Linked DNA regions of Daphnia pulex. The main gene of each other region encodes a partner of the protein of the gene in region 2 in a complex. Links are inferred from orthologs where the notes say so. Each region holds a gene or a part of one and is shown on either strand. Other genes may lie near its edges.

What was found. The genes of interacting proteins can lie anywhere in the genome.
Region 1: splicing factor 3B subunit 3-like (region 2) and probable ATP-dependent RNA helicase DDX46 share a complex: the UniProt entries of both Homo sapiens proteins name them as parts of the 17S U2 SnRNP complex. The link is inferred for Daphnia pulex from reciprocal best matches to the Homo sapiens genes SF3B3 and DDX46.

What each region holds. Positions count from the first base shown.
Region 1 is NC_060028.1:6,104,610-6,115,336, forward strand, and holds probable ATP-dependent RNA helicase DDX46, read left to right. Parts: upstream 1-5,519; 5' UTR 5,520-5,698; coding exon 5,699-5,718; intron 5,719-5,870; coding exon 5,871-6,011; intron 6,012-6,091; coding exon 6,092-6,272; intron 6,273-6,342; coding exon 6,343-6,454; intron 6,455-6,530; coding exon 6,531-6,703; intron 6,704-6,822; coding exon 6,823-7,161; intron 7,162-7,225; coding exon 7,226-7,385; intron 7,386-7,450; coding exon 7,451-7,567; intron 7,568-7,657; coding exon 7,658-7,858; intron 7,859-7,918; coding exon 7,919-8,001; intron 8,002-8,059; coding exon 8,060-8,257; intron 8,258-8,317; coding exon 8,318-8,512; intron 8,513-8,577; coding exon 8,578-8,844; intron 8,845-8,909; coding exon 8,910-9,024; intron 9,025-9,090; coding exon 9,091-9,356; intron 9,357-9,421; coding exon 9,422-9,625; intron 9,626-9,690; coding exon 9,691-9,933; 3' UTR 9,934-10,011; downstream 10,012-10,727. Other genes in the region: ran-specific GTPase-activating protein-like, read left to right, coding at 10,555-10,575, 10,645-10,727. UniProt on the Homo sapiens protein: Component of the 17S U2 SnRNP complex of the spliceosome, a large ribonucleoprotein complex that removes introns from transcribed pre-mRNAs.
Region 2 is NC_060019.1:9,344,916-9,355,591, reverse strand, and holds the start of splicing factor 3B subunit 3-like, read right to left. Parts: upstream 5,704-10,676; 5' UTR 5,549-5,703; intron 5,223-5,548; 5' UTR 5,167-5,222; coding exon 4,941-5,166; intron 4,876-4,940; coding exon 4,705-4,875; intron 4,518-4,704; coding exon 4,241-4,517; intron 4,049-4,240; coding exon 3,898-4,048; intron 3,687-3,897; coding exon 3,445-3,686; intron 3,278-3,444; coding exon 3,099-3,277; intron 3,040-3,098; coding exon 2,884-3,039; intron 2,630-2,883; coding exon 2,478-2,629; intron 2,416-2,477; coding exon 2,260-2,415; intron 2,198-2,259; coding exon 2,042-2,197; intron 1,859-2,041; coding exon 945-1,858; intron 779-944; coding exon 400-778; intron 235-399; coding exon 1-234. Other genes in the region: protein APCDD1-like, read left to right, coding at 9,690-9,696. UniProt on the Homo sapiens protein: Component of the 17S U2 SnRNP complex of the spliceosome, a large ribonucleoprotein complex that removes introns from transcribed pre-mRNAs.

The DNA of each region.
Region 1 (10,727 bases), on a different chromosome or scaffold from region 2:
AAAGCTACTCGAAGAAAATGTCAGCTACTTAGGTAAACGCTATGAGGCGCCGCTTTTATGGAAGATGAACCAACCCAATCTGCCTGACAACTATGCTGTAGCATTGTCTCGGTTCCACACGCAATTTCGAAGTTGGAAGAAATCCCCCTTGGAAGGACCAGTCGGGCTCACGTGGTACCTCCCACATCATGCAGTTTTTCATCCGGACAAACCTGGATAATGCCGGGTAGTTTTTGACGGTGTCGCCACGTTCCACATAATCTCCCTTAATAATTGTCTACTGACCAATCCAGACCTGTTGACGAGCTTAGTAGACGTGCTGTACGCCTGCGAGAAGGGCCGATAGCCATTTCAGGTGACAATAAAGTCACCAATTCTCATGATGCATTCTGAATTTACGTATTAACCTACGAATTTCCAAAACGGAAATGAATTCTCAACAAATTCGAAAACTCCCCGGAGCGAAGAAAGAATTTCCTTTTGTGAAATCCAAAATCGACAATAGGAAAACGGTCCCGGCTCAATCCGCCGGTTATTGACTTTGAATTCAGGTTATTGACTTTTGGCTCATTATATATTCTTATGACCTTGCTTACATGTGCTGTATGGCGCAGGTTCAGAGGGCAGGGCAGGGCTATAGAGTTTAATGAACTTATAAATGCCCATCAACTCGGGAATATCTAGTAGTCTTAAATTTTATGTTACCGCCCATACTTTTGCAGACTAGCAGACTTTAAAAAGTCTAACAGCAGAATTTTTGAGACCAGTCTTCATTTACATTTTGACACGTGCGTGCAAAATGAGTTCCTTAGAGAACCAGCAAATTTTGGAGCAGTTATCAGCGCAAGTGCGCGTTCTGCAAGCGCAAGTAAGCGAGGCTAGTCCAATGCCACGAGAAACCACTGGGACCGAACCATATAGTCGACGGTACACAAGATCATCTACAGGTAACTGACTTAAATACACCATCAAATCTTAAAATTATTGTCATCCATTTATGGCATTTATATTGTTATGCCATTTTTTTGTTTCAGAATTCGTTTTTATTTAATTATTCGTCTTATAATATGCCCCCCCCCGTTTTCTGCATGTTATTAATTAAAAAATGTAATTTTTCTATCTTTTGCACTTATAAATTTAGTAGGCAGACCTACTACTAGACGACATAATAGATCAAGCTCCAGCATGGAGAGACAGACTGCCTTTCTTGCGAATACTCGGTGACCGCGCGCTATTGACGGTAAAAAATATGACTAAAAAAAGATTAGAAAATTTGTCATAGATTTTCTGTTTTATTAGATGGAGAATTCGAACCTGAACTATTTTTTAAGGTGTTAACTGTGGTTTCAAAAAATTTTGACCTGATTAGCAAGCCTAAGCCAACAGCAACGAAGGTCATTGAATTGAATGCTGCTGGATTAGGAGAGATCACAGTTGAGCTTAGTGAAGATGACAGCTCAACCATGGTTTTTAATTTTTAAAGTCCGCGTCCGTCATTCCGATAGAAGTGCCTTACTGGGTCTCCGATCTGCATCATCTTGAGTTCGTGACTGTGCGAGGTGTTTTCTACCCTTCTCTCCAACGCTCATCTAACTTCACGTGTTCGTAGACGCCAGTGAATTGGATTACGGCGCCTCTGGCTTACCTGTTGTTGCAAAATAAGAAAAGCAACTCTACCATGTTTGTGATGTTCAAGTGTAGAGCCACGGATAGAAGAATGGCCACCCTGCTTGGTTCCCGTCTGGCCCGAACCATGAAGTCCGAGCTCCGGTTGAAAATAGATAGCGAAATATTTTGGTTGGACTCTTCTACTGTACTGCGTTGGATTAACATGACGCAATTTTTGGTACCACACCCGACCACACCATGGTGGCCAACTGAGTCGGCGAAATTCTTACCATCGCGATTCCATAGCAGTGGTTATATGTGCCGGGCACTTGTCACAAGTCGAAACCCCACCGACGACTACAGCCGTGGTGTTGAGGCGTCCGTCTTGACGGAAAATTATTAATTGTGGGCTGGCCCAGATTTTCTTCTTCAGTCCCGGGTGAGCTGACCAGCAATGCCAAAATATTTCTTCCAGCCAGTCAATGACCTGAAATCAACTCTTCGAAATGGGCCGGAAATATTTCCGCTCCTACAACTCATCCGCTTCTTCTCATAATTCAGCCAAGCTACAGTATATGCCGGCTAAAAGATTCTTGTAGAAGCCGAAATGATTCTTGTTATGTCTGCGTTAAGCACTGTATTCGAAGTACACAAGGCGTATGAAATACACAAGACGGGAACAAGACCTTCCTCCACTCTACTCTTGGCTCGAATGCCGTTCACCCCCTGGCCTTCTGGCGTGAGCCTTTCGTGCGCCATCTGTGATCGCATTCAATACATCACAATTCTTGTCCGCCTCGCCCAGCGTGAAGAGTACGGAAGGGAATTCAAAGGACTCAGTGAAGAAAAAAAGTTGGAATCAGGTTCAAATATCATCACACTAACCCCTTTCTTCTATGCAGAAGCAAACTCGATCCGCGTAGGATGACAACTGGGCTCCAGTAACTTTCCACTGGCCATCAAGCATTCGCTGTCATTATCAGCGGACCACCTTGTAACTAAATTAATCGTAAATAGGTAGTATATTTTCCTTAGGCACGTGACGGTCGAGAGAACTGTTACAGAACTACATGAAAATATTAGATCCCGCGATGCAGATCGTAAATCTACCGCATCCTCAAGAAAAGTTTTGATTGCCGGCGTTTCCGTGCAAAACTGGACATTCCAATCGCGCTCTTCCAATCCACAGGCTTGAAGACGACCGATCCACATTTTCCAACACAGGAATATATTACTTCGGGCCAATCATGACGACTGTCGACCGACGAACGGAAAAGAGGTGGGGAATAATCTATACGTGCTTGGTGAGCATATCTGTGCACTTCGACATGGCGAATCACCTAGACACTTCCTGGTTCCTTTTGGCATTTTCGAGGTTCACGCGCAGAAGAATTCGGCCAGACCTGATATATTCAGACAACGGCACTAACCTTAAAGCTGGTGAAAAAGAACTGAAAATCAGACTGGATCGTATTAATCAAACGGCCATCGCCAACGAGCTGGGCGCTCATAATATCGAGTGGATATTTTCTCCACCGTCCGCCCCTCATTTTGGCGGAGCGTTCCTGACTATCGAACGACGAAACTAATAAAAAAAGTATCGGTGCGATAATCGCCGATAGTTTTTGCAACGTTGCCAAAATTTTCCCTGAGAGGTTTTTAAAATTCTTATTTTAAAAAGCCGAAGGCTTACCGCCTTTTAAGGCCGAGATTTTTCCGACAGTCCTCCAAATACTATTAACCATGAAAGGTCCCTGGGGAATTGGGCGGGGAAAAACGAAGACGGTTTTTGGGACTTTAACGCTATCGTGATCCACCGATCACGACGCGACCTATCGCATTCGACGTAGAATGACGGTTTATATATATAATGATGAATTTTTATAATTGTTATGGGGGAAAAACACCAAAAAAAGAGAAAACTTCAATAACAAATGGAAGATAGCTTGCCAAAAAATTAGAGAATGCGATTGCTTCTAATAGAAAGAAGAACTATCCCTTTAACATAAACACAAATAAAAAACCGTGTAATTTCTTTGTTAATGAATTAAGAAAATTCATTTTTAATATTATAAATTCATGTTTAATATTTTAAAATAGAATAAACTAAAATCAGTAATAAAATTTGATTTGATTTTTTTGGCGCAAATTTCAAAAAAATGTGAATTTCAATCACGAATTTAACATATATAAAATTGACTAATCTAGATGAATTAGATTCGTAACTTTCTATATTAAGAACGAAAAACCTCTATTTTTGCTATACCTCCGAGAGGCGAGGGGCCTCCTAACCTATAGCGAACCTGGCGGGGAATTTTGAGATCCTTTACTAAACACCCGCCGGTCTTGGGGATAGCCGAGAGTGTACAGTATCCTTCAAAAAAATCCGAACGGCGATTTTTATTTAAATAGCCACCTATCCATAATGCGGGAAACTGGGTTTGGTTAATAGGCTGAATTTTGGGGGTAAAGAACGAAGCGAAAGGTGGGAAGAAAGAAACCCTCCCCCTCCGAAATAAAAAGTGTGAAACAAAACCAGACAGGCTGGTTGGAATAGCCGCAGGCTCACTGTCATTTTTTCGACAAGTGACGAGAAAACCAGAAGCTACCAAATCTAGCATTAAAAAGCGGGAAAGTTCAAAGGAATCGCCTTAAGTCATTTGTTTAATAATCGGCAATGAGTTTAAGTCGGTTAAATAAACTTTTCGCGCCATGAAAATTCCAGACAGCCTGTCTGATTTCATTCGTATTTCTTTTTGGGGGGGGAGGGGGGAGACATGGCCAATGGCTAATTACTCCTTTTTCTTTCTTCCCACCTTTCGCTTTGTTCCTTACCCCCCCAAATTCGGCCTATAAACCAAACCCAGTTCCCCGCCATATGGATAGGTGGCTATTTGAAAAAAAATCGCCGTTCGGATTTTTTTGAAGGATACTGTACCTTTCCTATTATATCGTGGTTTTGGCTTCCATTACTCCAAGGACAGAGTAATAGATAATGGTGTACCCACTACCATGTTAACTCCTCCTCTCGGAAATTTTTCCTAGAGCTGCAGCGAACATCACGACTCGATAGTGAAAACTGAGCTTAGGTATCTATGTTTATCCTCTATCACCAACGCCTCTTGCTACCGAGCGAAACCTTCGGCAAAACCATTCCCCATTTCCCACCACACCTGCTGTGGCGCTAATTTTAAGAGCTGGGAAGTGGAAAGCTAGAAACACTTTTAGGGAAAAAGGAAATGGAAGGCCTCCTGTCCTAGTGGCTACACCATTATCTACTACTCTGCCAAGGAGGTCTACAGACAATTATTTCTTTCTTTTCTGGGTTGCAACCATTATACTTCTAACATCGAGTCCACCAGTCAAGGAGGCCGGATTTGGGGGTCTGGGGGGCTTATCATTTTTGGGGAATTGGTGACAAGGCATCGCAGTACATCCCCAAATAAACCATTTTATCGGAATTTTACTGTTTTTTGTTGTTATAGTTTTGAATTCTTCACGAAAAACTATGAGGGCCCACCAGAAATTGTAGCGTTTTTTCGGGTTTTTTACATCAGTTTTCGGGTGAACCAGGCCGTTTAAAAAACGGATTTTTCAGAAGATTTTGCCCCTTTCCACAGACGTCTTGCCCCGTTTTTTATCTAAGCTTTATTGGCAGAGATATAAGGGATTTAAAATCTGGAAAATTTTCCGCCATTTTCTAACGATTTTCGTAATCATCCCACTTCATTTTGCAAGCCATCTACCGGCCGATTTTGAAAACCCTCTGGTGTGTAGGACAAAAATCTGAATAGCCGGGAGAAGAAATTTCCCTTGCATTTTCAAAATCTAGATATTATTTATAAACATGGATATGGAAAAGACAGGACAGGACAAAGTTCATTTTGCAAAAAGCTAGCAGCAGCTAGTAGCCTGAGCAGAGCCCTGAGCTAGCAGTTGGCAATTTCAATTTGTTTGAAGTAAAATTCATTTTAAACATGGCAATGTTGCCTGTATCTGTGTATCAAAATTGACGCACTCATGTGCATTTTGTATTTAACTCATTTCATTGCAAAATTTATTAAGTATTCCGAAATTAAACGTCTTTTCGATGGCTCGTGACGGACACAAGTATAATTGTTATTTTTATTTAACTTATTAATTCATTTATTAAGTAAAATAATATGCAGATTATAATAACGATATAGATTATGTAAATTTTTTGTTTACAGTTTTTCATTGCTTAATATTATTATTTTATTTACATTTCTCATCTACGCTAGGCATAATAAACGATCCAGAAGCCGAAGCAGATCCAGTAGTCCTCGTTCTAAAAAACTTCGAGAACGAGATAGAGATGGGGAACACAGGCAAAGAGACAGGGAACGTGAAAGAGATAGAGATCGGGACAGGGAGCGTGACAAGTAATTAATTTTTCATGTTTACAAAAGATAGTCTGATCCATGTTAAGAAGTAAAAACTACCTTTTTGTAACATTTTCCAGGAGAAGAAGCAGATCAAAAGATAGAGATCATGATAAATCTAAAAGATCAACAACAACTTCAGAACGAAGAATTTCAAAATCCCCTGATAGAAAACCAACTTTAGTCGAAGAAATTAAACCTGTTTTGAAATCTGAATCAGAGCTAAAGGAGGAAGCAGCTGTTGCAGCCATGATTGCCAAAGTAAGTTGTTCTATTTTTTAATATTTTGAAAGGGTGTACATTGTTTGTTTGTCTCTTTTCTTGCATATAGGAAGAGGAGCAGAAAACTTTGGACTTGGAAATGCAGAAACGCCGAGAACGAATAGAAAAATGGCGTTTAGAACGAAAGATGCAGGAAATTGCTCAAGTTAAATCTGATCTAGGTAATAATCTAGAAATAACTTTTTAAAAAAACTGACTGTCTTATATACTTCATAATATTGCCATCCTTTTAAACAGCCAATCAAAGAGCTGGGAAAAAATGGTCACTTGAAGATGATGAAGAAGAGGAAGAGGAAGATGGAAAATTGAAAACTGAATCTGCTAAAGTTGAAGCAATTGAAACGATCAACGAAGAAATTGAAGTTCAAGAAGCAGAGGAAGAAGTTGACCCTTTAGATGCTTTTATGCAGGTACTTCAGAATATCTACATGTGCCGATTTGGTTTTGCCGAATCGACATGGATTCGTACCTTACTGCTTACACTAGTATTTTTAAATCAACATCTATTTAATTTAAAAAAAAAAAATAGGACATTCAAAGTGAAGTTCGAAAGGTTCAGAAACTTGACGTTCAAAAATCAAAAGGATCTGGCGTGATGGTAATGACCGGAGTAGCAAAGAAAGCTGCTAAAAAGAAAGGTGAGCTTGTGGAACAAAATCAGGACGCTTTGGAATATTCCTCAGAAGAAGAGTCAGAAGACTTGGCATCAGCAATGTCCGGACTGGCGAATAGCAACATAAAACAGAAAGAAAAAGTTTTTAAAATTGATCACAACAAAATCAACTATTTTCCTTTCCGGAAGAACTTTTACGTGGAAGTACCCGACATAGCACGTATGACCCAAGAAGAAGTAGATGAATACCGACAGGTGTGTATGACTGATACAATTGCTAGTGCCCCAGGACGTTAAAAAAAAATTGTTTAACATATAGGAACTTGAAGGCATTAAAGTTAAAGGAAAAGGGTGTCCGAGACCTATAAAAGCATGGGCACAATGTGGTGTTAGTAAAAAGGAAATGGAAATTCTAAAAAAATTAGCATATGAAAAACCAACCCCCATTCAAACGCAGACAATCCCTGCAATCATGTCTGGTACACAACAACGAACACTTTTTTGTTGTATAAATTTTAAAAAATACTATTATTAAAATATATAGGCAGGGACATAATAGGTATTGCCAAAACTGGCAGTGGCAAAACACTGGCATTTTTGCTGCCTATGTTTAGGCATATTTTAGACCAGCCTGCATTAGAAGAGACTGATGGGCCAATCGGTACGTAGTGTTTAATATCATCGATGTATTTATTTTATTTTTTTTTATTATTATTATTATTTTACCTTCATAAATATTCCACTGTTTTAGCTATCATAATGTCTCCTACCCGAGAATTGTGCTTACAAATCGGCAAAGAATGTAAAAGATTCACCAAGTCATTGAATTTGCGTGTGGTGACGGTCTACGGAGGAACGGGAATATCAGAGCAAATAGCTGAACTAAAACGTGGCGCTGAAATTATTGTGTGCACACCCGGAAGAATGATTGATATGTTAGCTGCCAACAACGGTAAAATTTACCTATAGATTAACTATTAAAAAAGTGTCTTAATTTTAGTCTTTGAAATAGGACGTGTCACCAATTTGCGGCGTGTGACTTACATAGTTTTGGATGAAGCTGATCGCATGTTCGACATGGGTTTTGAGCCACAAGTAAGCAAGATAGTAATACTTCGTCGGGTGACTAGAAATATTTATTCCTTTTATATAGGTAATGCGAATCATTGATAACACTCGCCCTGATCGACAAACTGTTATGTTTAGTGCTACATTTCCCCGTCAAATGGAGGCCTTGGCTCGTAGAATCCTAAACAAACCTGTTGAAATCACGGTTGGAGGTCGTAGCGTTGTTTGTGCTGACGTCGAACAGCATGTTCTTGTTATGGAAGACGAACAAAAATTTTTGAAAGTTAGCTTTTTTCTTAAATTAACAATGAATTTTTGTTTATAAACTAATTTATTTTGGTAGCTTTTAGAGTTATTGGGGGTTTATCAGGAACAAGGAAGTGTTCTTGTATTTGTTGAGAAACAAGAAAGTGCTGATGACCTGCTCAAAGATTTGATGAAAGCTGGATACGATTGCATTTCCCTTCATGGTGGTATTGATCAGTACGATCGTGATTCAGCTGTAGTTGACTTCAAAAATGGAAAAATCAAATTGATGGTAATAGAAAATTTTAAAAAGATTTTGCTTGATGTTCGCCGTTTTCTATACTTTTGTTTGATCAGATTGCCACATCTGTTGCCGCTCGTGGTTTAGATGTGAAGCACCTTATTTTGGTCGTCAACTACGATTGCCCCAACCACCATGAAGACTACATTCATAGATGTGGACGCACCGGAAGAGCAGGCAATAAAGGATTTGCCTACACTTTTATTACTCCAGATCAGCAAAGGGCTGCAGGGGATATTATTAAAGCAATGGAACAATCTGAAACGCCAGTGCCAGTTGAATTACAAACTCTTTGGGACCAATACAAATCCAAGCTTGCTGCGGTAAATTTAGCAGAAGATTAAAAACCCTTTCAATCAAATAATTTGTTTCTTTCTTTCTTTCTTAGGAAGGGAAAACTGTCCGCTCAGGAGGTGGTGGATTTTCTGGTAAAGGGTTCAAATTTGATGAATCTGAAGCTATGGCTGTGTCAGAAAAGAAAAAATTCCAGAAAGCCGCTTTGGGTATATTAAGAGTTGGTTTTGGTGTGCATTTCGGCTGAGTATATTAATTTTTTTATTATTATTCAGGTCTGCAAGATTCAGATGAAGAAGATATAGAAAATGATTTGGATGAACAAATCGAAACTTTAATGGCTGCAAAACGTATTGTGCGTGAAGTTCAAGCTTCAACACTGGTGTCTGGGGGTGGCGGTTCTGTTGCCGCGAGCATTCCAAGCAAAACGGCTACCGACAAGCTGGAATTGGCCAAACGGTTAGCTTCAAGGATTAATCTTGCCAAGCAATCGACTGGTCCCGTTCCAGCCATTCCCGAAACATCCATAGGAGCAATTTCGGTAAATATGCAAAATATTTCAATATGAATTCGGATTTCAAAACTCAATCTTGTTTTTTCAATCAGGCTAGAAATGTTGCAGAGCAGTTGGCGGCAAAACTCAATACACGACTCAATTATGCCCCTGTTGAAAGTGAAGAACCTATGGAAGGATCAGTAGAAGAAGGCGGAGAAAATACTCCATCTAGCTCGGACGTCATTCAGAAGTTCGAGGAAGAGTTAGAAATTAACGACTTCCCACAACCTGTTCGCTGGAAAATCACGTCTAGGGTTAGCTTACGAATACGGTTAATGACTGTAGCGTTTTTTTTTTATATCATCTTTTATTTTTTCAGGAGGCTTTGGCCCAGGTAAGCGAATTTTCAGAAGCTGGCGTTTTTGTCCGAGGAACATATTGCGCACCGGGAAAGAAGATCGCTGACGAAGAGAGAAAATTATATTTAGCCATCGAGAGCACGAGTGAAATGGCAGTTTCAAAAGCACGAAAAGAAATTGTCCGTATTCTAAAGGAAGAAATGCTTCGATTGGCCAGTTCTACCTCCTATCAAGGTTCTAAAACTGGTAGATACAAAGTTTGAATCTTCTTGGTAGTACCGTACCGTCTTTTCCATCGTCTCAGAAAATGCAGTGAGTCAATACAAGATTTTACCATGGTGTTCCACTGTCGATATTTTTATATTTTTTTGTTTTGTCGGTTTTGTTCTGTTTTAGGGTTAGGGGTTGGGGGTTGGAGATGATTTATTTACATCATAAAAAAAATAAATTGCACTGGATGTTATGATTGGGTAATATTTTTATTTCATAACAACAAACTTCATATTAACATGTAAAAAATATATAAAATTTTAACCCTTTTCGCCTGACTTAAAATAAAAAATACTATATTAATAACCATGGTCCATGGCCTATGCTATAACCACTAATATAACTGCATCTGGAGTCTGTCTGGTGACTCTGGAGAGAAGATGATTTTTTTTTTAAATATACAATTGGTACAACTGCAGATCTACTTGACATTCGCCCTAGCGCCTTTAAAAGAAAAGAAAGAGAATAAAAACTGAAGGGGCTCAACAAAAAAAACTGGTTTAAGTTCAGTATTTCTTCGAAACTCTAACGTCGCTATCGACACCTCGATCATTGCTTAAAATAGAATTGTAAAGAGGATTTTTGAATTCACTGCATTCCCCTCTTTATTTTACATGAAAATGACTGATACATCTGTAAGTAAATAATAATGAATTAACAATGTATGACTGCACAATATGTTTAGATTTGTCTTTTTTACTCAGGTAGAAATCCAAAACAATAAAGACCACAAAGATGATGTTGAAAATGAAGAGCATGAGGAACATGATCCATATTTTGAACCAAT
Region 2 (10,676 bases):
CGTGAACGGAACCAACACGCCAATAGATCCGGACAAAGTTGTGTAGACAAGGGATTCAGAACCGCCTGGAATAAGGGTCGCTCTTTGAAGCGACAATGCAGTCTCGCCAATATGAATGTTGCATAATACTTCGGCCTTATTAGATGCCCCATTAAGAACACCACGATCCCAGAATGATTTGTTTCCAGTGGGATCTTCGTCCACGTCATCGGATGTCCTAGATGGCAACCGCAACTAGCAAGAAATAAGAAACTATTAGAATGGGATAATTTACACAACACACTATCTTCAAGGGTCTACAGTTCTCAGTAACGAGTTGTAATCATAAGATTCAGTAGTCTAACATGTTAAAACATCATAGAAGGAAGAAGTGCCTGCAGAGAATCTAAAATATCTTACCACTGAAATGTTGCCGAATTTATCAGCTACCGCAACAGTGTCATAATCCAAAAGACACATGGTGGTGACATAACGAGGGTGTGTATCGTCGGCAAAGATGATCAGTTGATTCTCCATACGCTTGTAGCGGACGAAGTGGATACTTTCCTGAACATCGGCCACATACACACGCTGACCGAGGGCTTGAATGTTGACGACACAGCTTGGTAAATGTTTGTTCTCACATTTTCGCAGCAACTTCTTTTTTCCCATATCATATAACCTCAACAATCGCCCAACTCCAATCAAAACTCGACCCTGGTAGGCGCAGATGGCGTAGGGAGTGTCCTCAACAGGAGTTTTGTGAACAAATTCAAGCGCCGACCACTCATTTATCAATCTAAATTTAAAAAATCACAACCAATTAGTTTGAGGTATAAAAGCACTCATCTCAATAGTTGGGAGTTCATTTCAGAACTGCAGAACGTTTTCTTCCTTTTGATCAGAAATTGCTCTTATCATCACTAGATACAAAAATGCCAATATATAAAATCGAAGGAACTCACTTGTATGTATAGATGAACCCTCCATCACATTGTTTGGGATTTAGCTTCAAATCCTTTGCAACCCCAACAAGAACGAAATAATCTTCTGGGTCCTGATTCATAAACCGCGCCAATCCGATACTCAGGGCAGCCTCGTTCTGTGGCAATCGAATTGTGTGCAAAGAATTGCCGCTAGTAGGGTCCATAATGCGGACGATCGAAGCCCACATACCAGCACCAGCTTTCGGAGCTCCAAACTCACTTTCAGGTAAATCTTCATTGAGGAAAGCGTCGGCCATTTGATGAGCCAACTCCTGTTCTTCTTCCGTCGCAGCATCCCTCATCTCTTGAGCTATTTGCTGTCTCCTCTCAAGCTTGGTCTCTAGCGTATAAGCATTGTGATCGGTTTCAATAATAATCATGCGCCCGGAATCGTGTACGACGAATTTTCGAGGCGTATACTCCAATGGATATGAGACTTGATTGAAGACGGCACCCAACTTCTCCAACGCCAAAATACGAAGTGTGTTGGAAGCAATGGCGACGACTCCTTCGGGACACTGTTCGGATGCGAAACCAGATGCAAATTCCAACGAATCATAAGACAATGGAGCGAGATGGAAACGATTCTGAAAGTAGTAGCTCAGCCAGGTACGCGAAGATATGGCTAACACGGCTTCGTGATTTTGTGTCATGACGCGGAAAAGTTTAACTGGTCTGGAACCTAGGTACCGAGTTCTCGTATCAGCCAAATCCCCCGTTACAGGATCCAACACCGTTCTCAATAAAACACCATTCTGAAGACCAATGTTGAGGAAAAGCTGTCCTGAAGTCCCAGTTGTTTCGGAATCTTTATCGTGACCACCCATTTCAACAATACACAAGGATTCTGGAGTGGCTGGTAACGCTTGCATACTCAAGGGTGTAAGACAGTCCTGTAATGTCAAAAATCAAGACATTAAGAAAAGAAAACTGCGTACACCACATTACTTGAAAAGACTAATCATCAGTAATGAACGAGAAGGGGTTAATTTCAGAAGTACCTTAAGATACTTCAAAACTCTAGCCTAAGTTCTCATCATGAAAGTGGGGAAATCGCGCAATAAATAACAACTTACATTGGGATCTAATGAGATGACGCGGACAGTATTATCTGCGAGGCCAACAGCTAAGAAACGTGATCTCTGTTCACCAGACGGGACATTAGCCAAAGCCATGCATACAACTTCGGCAGTCATCTCCTTCCGCTCCGTATATTCGTTTAATTGACCGGTCTAAATATATTTAAAAATAGTAATATAATAGAGGAAAAATTTACACAATCACAAGGACTTACCGGATCCATCTCGAAGTACACCAATTCCCCGCCAGCTAGAGAAATGACAACCTGGCGCTGATTAACTGCACACCGAGATATAGCTCGTTTACCAGGGGATTTCCATTCGTTGATCCTTCTGTCTGCCCTTATGTGTCGAATTCCTTCAGGATAAACCTGTTAAGATAGTTATGGTCTATGATATTACTGGATAGGAGTATTTTGCAAAATTTTATTACCTGGAGCAATGCATTATCACCCAGCGAGGAACACCCTAGAGTAGGCGTCGTGCCCAAAAACCCTGAGTCTGTCACCTCTTCAACAGTTTCACCGATGGACAACACAAGTGTGGCATTCACGAATGACACAACAATGTAAGCATCAAACTCGTCTGTGAAGAAAAATAAAAGAAATTTAATAACCCCTCCATAATAATGAAAAGGACTCATGGGGGATAGATAAAAAAAAGGGAGTGTACAGCTGAGTAAGTGAACTGAAGCATTACTCCACTAGGTTCCAGGGAAGATCAAGGCTAACCTGAAAACAGTAAAAAAGACTGGCGTTTGAACTATGGTCCAACCACCAGTCGCTCACGTGCGCGCACAATGTGACACGCCCGCTGAGCACAACACAAATTAAAATTACCGTCGGCACGTTTTCTGACAGTCCACACTGCATTGGGGTTACCGGGAAGTTCAGAAACAGCCATCTCCGATACTTCCAATCCATGACGGAGAACACGAAGAGACGAACGAGAACTTCTACCACAAAGTGCATACAACTGGGGTGTATCCTCATTGGCTGTAAATTGAAAACAAATGTTAAAAACCTTTCAAAACAGGAGGAATTATCAAACCTACCGAGATCAGCAATATGGCAGGCCAGAACTGGAGATAAAGACTCCATCTCGTCCACGAGAACAAGATTCTTCAAAGGTCTCGGAGCAAAGAAGAAAGTATCTCCTTCCTCCAATGGTATAGTAGAGCTGAATTCGGGTTCATCGTCATCATCCCCCAAATGAGCAATCTGGTAAAGATAACTAATAACACAAGGAAAATTAATACACTTGAAAACCCATAAAACTACTTCAAATTTTGTAACCGAAATCAGAGTCAAAAATTATAATCAAAGTGTTATCTCAGGTGAAACACGGATGACAATACACATCATTTCAGCAAATAGAAAAAAAAATTTAAGAAAACTAACTGATTTCCAAATTCCGATGCGACGAATAGAAAGCCTGTCTTCAACACACACATGCTGGACGAAACTGGAACGGTATCAAAGTACTTGATTTTCAATTCTCTCACCACCTCTTCATCCATATCCATGGTGATCTTGAAAATATCGCCCTGCTCCGTTTGGACAAGGAAGAAAAACATGGCCTTGGTGCGATGGGAAGCCGAGCAGACGAAAATCATGCCCCTTTCCGGATCATCCAAGTCATTCTACAGAGAAAAAACTTATTACTACCGTCCTCAATACATGGAATAAATAACTTATCGGAGGTTCGTTCCAGGACAGCATGCAATATGCGCATTACAATCCAACGATGCAAACATCTCCAAGTATAGTTTAGGCACTAGTCGACCAGCACGTGTATAGAACACGGCTGGAGATACCGCGCGCCAAATAACATAATGAAATGATCAAACGTACCCTTCTTCTGGGGATTGGGCAACGAATGTCATGCTGTTCACCCAAATTCTTATATGTGATGTAGTTCTCGGAGCAAACCAGAACTCCGGAAGGTCCGTCGTTTCCTCCAGGAACAGTGATGAGGAAATTGGCGTGCTCATCCAACGGCTCACTATTAAAGTAAAGATATGTTCATCAAAATATTTCTTACATTGTCACACATAAGTCAACAATGTTACACACTATGATAGATAATGTCCCCCTTATGTATAGCTGCAATCTTTAAGTGACAAGAGAGCAGTAAAGTTAAGGGGTTTTGAAACCCAACCAGGCAAAACCAAAATCACCAAGATTTGTTACGCACCTATATTTCCTAACGACGTGGTTTAAACCCAGATCGAGTTCGTAGAATGTAAGCGTTTGTTGCGTCTTCTGTGCCGCCTCGCCTGTTGGATCACCATCGGCCTCTTCATAATCCATCTCCAAACAAGCAAATACAGGGTTTTCAAATCCCACGTCAACACCCACTATGTTGTAAACTAGAGTGTTTGACTTGTGAGCCTCCAGCGGAGAAGAAATGGTTAAATGGGCTTGGGCATCCCTGTTCAGAATGTAGACCAGTTTTTGCTTCTCAATAGCACCTGCAATGCAAAAAAAAAACATAAATGTTAAAGCAATGCGCACTCTCAAGCCACAAGATTTCGATTTTAAAAAATTCTCAGTAAAAACGTTAGATATCAGCATTATCTTTCTCAGATGGGGAAAGAAGACATAAAAACGTAACTCATCACTTGCAAGAATTTAAATTAAAAACGGATCAAAACTTACTGATCATAACAGCTCTGCCTTTGGGATCAATTGCCATGTACTGTCCAGGAACAATCCGACGACAACCGCTTTTGCCGTACGTTTCTTGGTGCACCTTATCAAACACATTTTTGGCAGCATTGTATTCAAGAATGACAATTCGCCCAGAGTCTGATCCGACCACAAGGTAATCTAAATACAGAATTAATGAAAGTTAGCAGGATGTATGTTTTAAAAATTATATTTGCACAACTCACCCTTATTTCCTCCAGTAAGCCTGAAACTAATGATTGACCTGATGATTCCAAAAACCTCTTGACTGAGAAGTGTGTGTACTTTGCCAGTGTTGGGATCCGGCTTCACAATTTCGAGTACCTTTCCACGAGCAATGACAATCTCCTGTTGCTTGGTGCCACTGAAGTTGCCCTGGACTGCCTGAATGATGCCAGTGGCACGCTGCAGAGTCAGATTGTAAAGATACATTTTCTTTCAAGTTGACGTGTCCAATGTGTAACTTGAACTGCCTAGATGAGCATCACCTGCGAAAATGTTATCAGATATAATTCTTACATTTGTCCAACATGTTTAATGACAATGTTACACACCATTTGAAAATTAATGTCCCCCTCATGTATAGCCACCAAACTTAATTCACAGAAAGGCGGTAAAGTTGTAAGGGGTTTTCTTTTCTTTAATAGCTAGACGAGTACGCGAAAGAAACTACAGCCCCGGCATCTCACCCGGCAAGGTTTTCAAATTGACATGCTTCAATATTTTAAACATCGCCAAAAACACACATTTAACCATCAAAATAACTGCTTTTCAACTATCTGGAACTAAAATGTGTAGTCAAACTTGAATTTACCTGTGGATGTTACAGATTTTCCATGATGGAAAATTCAGCAAAGGTTGAGTGAAATCTCTCTTGGCTCCGGCGTCGCGCTCGAGTTTAGGGTTCGACTTCTCGTGCATTGTGTGATAGGCAATATTTTTGAACATCTGACATCGACTCTCTACTTGGTCTATCCCTAAACACAGCATTTTCAATGCATTTGCGCTTTCTTTATCACAAGATTTTTTAAATTATTATTATTATTTATAGAACGATTTCATAATGCATTATACAATAAAATTGTGAAATTAATAAAAAATTTCAGTGGTGATAATCAAGAATGATTTATTCACAGCTGTTTTTATTACTCATAAAGTAATTCAAAAGACGTGTTCATATTCCGATCCCTTGCTATGCGCGCGAGTTTCTCTCTAGAACCACCATGCAGCCACGCTTTGAATAGACAAGTTCGGGATGCTGAGTTGCACAACCGCAAAATTAGGATCGTGCGCCAACGAGTTTTTGTAACGTTGTGGGGATAGTAGAAAGCGGGTTTTTTATTATTTAAGCATAGAATTACTTATCTAATCTTAGAAATGTTCAGGATTATCGTTGTTTAGAACATTCTGCTTTTTATAGAGTAATTTTAAATGTATAATTCAGCTTAGTTTACCCATTCAAATTAAAGAAAGTCCAAGCCTGGGATGCTGTTTAGTCTTTTCTTGTGTGTTTGAGCTTGTCACTTGTCAGCAGATCTGTCAAAAAACACAAGAAAAGACTAAACAGCATCCCAGGCTTGGACTTTCTTTAATTTTAATGGGTAAACTAAGCTGAATTATACATTTAAAATTACTCTATAAAAAGCAGAATGTTCTAAACAACGATAATCCTGAACATTTCTAAGATTAGATAAGTAATTCTATGCTTAAATAATAAAAAACCCGCTTTCTACTATCCCCACAACGTTACAAAAACTCGTTGGCGCACGATCCTAATTTTGCGGTTGTGCAACTCAGCATCCCGAACTTGTCTATCTTTTAAAATTTCTTATTCAAAAATTTTTATTTGCGGTGCGGTAAGGAATAACGAATAAGGGTGTTGAAGCACTTATCTTTTTTTTTCAATTCATAATGTACCGTTGAATTCATTTCGAGTCATTCAATTCATATTGACTGAAACAATCGAGTTCCCGAACTTTACCGATTAACTCGTCCTCTGTCGCCAGTGATGGAATGTGGAACGGCTTGCAGTCGGAAATCAACTCTTGACTTTTGATGTTTCCTATTAAGAACAAGTTTAGAGGTTTGAAAAAAAACGAAACTAGAAAAAACGAAGAATTTGATGTTGTCCTTGCATTCTTTGGAACAGCCTTTATTGCAGCATCTTCCAAAAGATAGCCGCAGCGAAATTCTTCGACGTTTGGAATTTAACATCGTCGACTTGTTGTTGTTGTATACGCGATATCAGCAGTCGGTAGTTTTGGGCCAACTTTCGTCGTCGTCGGGAACAGCATGAGATTATAGTTTTCTACACTGTCATAAATGCGTTGAGATAAGGCGCTGCTGGGCGCGGTATGAAATCCCCTTGTTCCGTAATATAACATGCTGCAACCGCTATAAGCCATGTACGCGCATTCGTGGTTTTTATCTGATGTACAGTAGAACAAGTTCTAACTTTCCATATGCCATCTTATTAAGGTTATCCTCTCTGACTATACAGAAACAAATCAACCTCAATAGGGATTTTTTAGAGCTACATAGTCACAGTGACGAACGCGACGGTATTAGCCAATGTGTTTGAATCCGGCGATTAATAGTCCGCTCGATTGGAAACCGTGAAATCGTTTCCGAAATTATGCAGGCAATCAATGCTCTGCTGCACTATCGAGAGCTTTTTTCTTTTGGCCGAATGTATATATCGCAGCACTCGAATTCGCATTTCGAACGCGGGTTTCGCCCCGGTCTATTGCCTTTTGATCGTGAAACTGGCAGCTGTTTCAGCGCGCAATTCAGGAACACGCCTCTCGATGTTATTTCGTTTGCCAAGAAAGAAATTCACGCACAGCACACACATAAGAGATTGAATCATCGGATATAAATATTTATTATCTTTCGCGAATCCACTTGGTCCCGCGACGGGTCAACATCTCGCGTTCCACAACTAACGTTACATATAAACATCCGAAAATGGTTGGACTCGAGCCACACAGACATATTCCGCGTTTAAAAAAATCTATCAACCGGGAATTTCGAAAGCAGAAGACGGCAGAAGAAGAAGAAACTCTGTGCTGGGGTCGTCTTGTTCTCATCTCATTATCCAATTTTTGTTGAACGCCAAGCAAGAAAAGATAAGAAGCGGTGAAATAAAATATCTGAAATGAAAATCAGTTTCATTTCATTGCGGCTTAGTCTGTAGCTATAGTACACTTTAATCCGCGCAACTGCTGCTGGTAGGGATATTCATTGTTGGCGTAATCAAGTTGATTGTCGACAAGAGGCGGATTTTCCAATTGATTTACGAGCGATGACGGGAGGAGAGTGAAGAAATTTCCCCCAGCGCGCCGCCCAGCCAAAAGGATGATCGCTTACATGAATATGAGGTTGCGTCAGATTTTTAATAAGAAGATATCGATCAATGGCGGGGCAGACAGAAACTCTTTTAAGAGGGTCCATCACTCGTCTGCCGTTCTTCACCACCCACAAGGTTACATCAGAATCAAAACGATATAGGAAACGTATATTCAAGACCGGGGTCGGTCATATTATCATCAAAAGGCCCAAAAAAAAAAACGAGAAACTGTCGGTTAGGTTCTTCATTTCCCGCTGTGACTGGAAGAAGTGAAAAAGCCTCGTGAGTTCAAAACAGATGAGACGACGATGTCCCGTGCTGCGGCAGTCCCGAGAAGAAGAAGAAGAAGAAGAAGAAGAATCAATGTGTTTAGATGTATAAAAAGGAAAACAAAAAGGCCAGCCAAACGGATGAGATGGGAATAGATTTTGATTTCAAGGTTCTGGAAGGAAAAACTCGTTGCTGCGTGCGTTTAACATTCCTCGGCTGTCACACATGTCAGCATTTTTCCCCCCGCGACCAAAATTCATAGATATAGAAAATGATGGGGGGTCGTATATAATAATCATAATAAGTGAACTGGCCAGTGAATAAAATCACGTCGGCACACGACGACGACCGAACCCTATAGTAGTAGTAGTCAAAGCGGGCCAGCGCATGCAGCACAGCACACACGGAAGATTGATTTCAACTCACAGCCCTTTTTAGCTCTCGTTATTTTGTCTTTTTCTTTTCTCCTATACGGATCGCTGGATGGATAGATAGATAGACCGCCGGACTTTTGTGTATCATTATAAGGCAGCGCCTTTGTCCCGTATGACCAAAAATATATATATCCATCCAATGCTGGTGCAGGTGGTTGTTTCCAATGGAAATAACCGAAGCCGAAGAAGAAGAATGTTTCATTCAAACTTGGCAAGATCGATGCGGCAATCGTCACTGCTCCGCTGCGTATTACAATCACAAAAACTTCTTCTCTTTTTTTAAATGTTGAATAACGAACAACCAAAAAGAAAATAATAATTCATCCGAAAAGGAGGAGCCCCCTGCGAAAGAAAAGAGTGAAAATAAGAGTATAGAGTTCACGTATAGACACACACACACACAAAACTGGTGTACATGGAACCCGCCCCAGCCGCTGCTGGGTTGATAAGAGCGACGGGTCGTCCCTCCTAGGGTCTCAGTCGACTCCTAGTGGTCAAAGGGCCAGGTTCGCCTTTTTCTCTACGCTCCTACCATCTTTTTTCAACTTTTGTCGAGAGAGATTTCCGGTCTTGAAAAACCAGCACATACCTGTGGGGCGTGTGTGTGTGTGTGTGGCAGCTATTATAACTAAATGTGAACTGCTTTTTCGTTTACCTCCCGTCCACCAACCACTTGCGTCACATTTATTCGGGTCGTCGTGACAGTCGTTGATTAAGTGCTGAGAGTGCGCCTTGCGTCAACCGTGTGAGAGTTCATTAATGCCGGCTGACTTGACTAGAACTAATCTAACGTCCGCTATTTGTGGCTGAGCTTCCGCAAAGTTCCGTCCGTGTCGTGAAAACACAATCAGAGAGACCCGACGATTTATTAAGACGTCAACACCTTGGAAAAACTTCAAAGAATGAACGGTATGGGCCGCCAGTCAATTATTCTAGCTGCTTTTATTTTCGAAACTTTTTTTATTATGTGGGAAAACACACACACACGAAAAAAAAGAGGGGAAACAGCAACAACTTTGTCGTCCGTGTAGAAATAAGAAAAAGTTGTTAGTTCGTGTTTCCTGTCTATTACCAGAAGCTATTTCCTCGGCGTTGTTTAATTATTCATTCCGTCACCACACACGGATCATTACCTCTCTATCACAGCCCACCCGTTCTCACTCTTTCCCCCTTATAGCTCTCTGGGCATATTAGTGACGCTTTACCCATTTTCTCTTTTTTTATTTTTCCTATATTTATGAAAATCCCCCATTTCCTATTTTATTCTTTCCCATTTTTTTTTAGCTTTTTTTGAAATTGACAATTTCGTGCGTGGACATAACACTTTGTTGGTTTCCGATTCGTCTGGCCGATTATTCGTTCATATATTTATTATTAGATTTTTTATTTTTTCGTTATTCAAATATAAGAAAAAACAACTTTTGATTTTCAATATTGCGGCGCTTTTTTTTATAGTAGAGTCGTCTAGACCCACGTTGACAGGATTGATCCGAACCACCCAGCGGCATATTTCCAAATCGAAAAAAAAAAAGAAAAGAAAATGTTAACTCGTTCGTGTATAACCTATACGTGAACAGCAAACAACAACCAATCTAAGACTGCAGTGGTACCGTTCTGTGTGTGTTTCCATTCGTTCGTCTTGCAGCAGGAATGCCCATTTTTTTTTCTTTTGTGTGTTGGATATTTTTATACACACACACATAACAGGACGAGACTGGGTGGTGGGTGGGTGGGGATACGTGGAATATTATTGTTCTATATCCTATCGTGCGACGTCTGCGTGTCACTGCCGCCGGAGCGCACACAAAAGTTTATATTTACACCGAGGGCCTATAAATACGACCGAGATAGATCCTGCCATTTTTATTTTCTTCTTCTTTCTCTCTCTC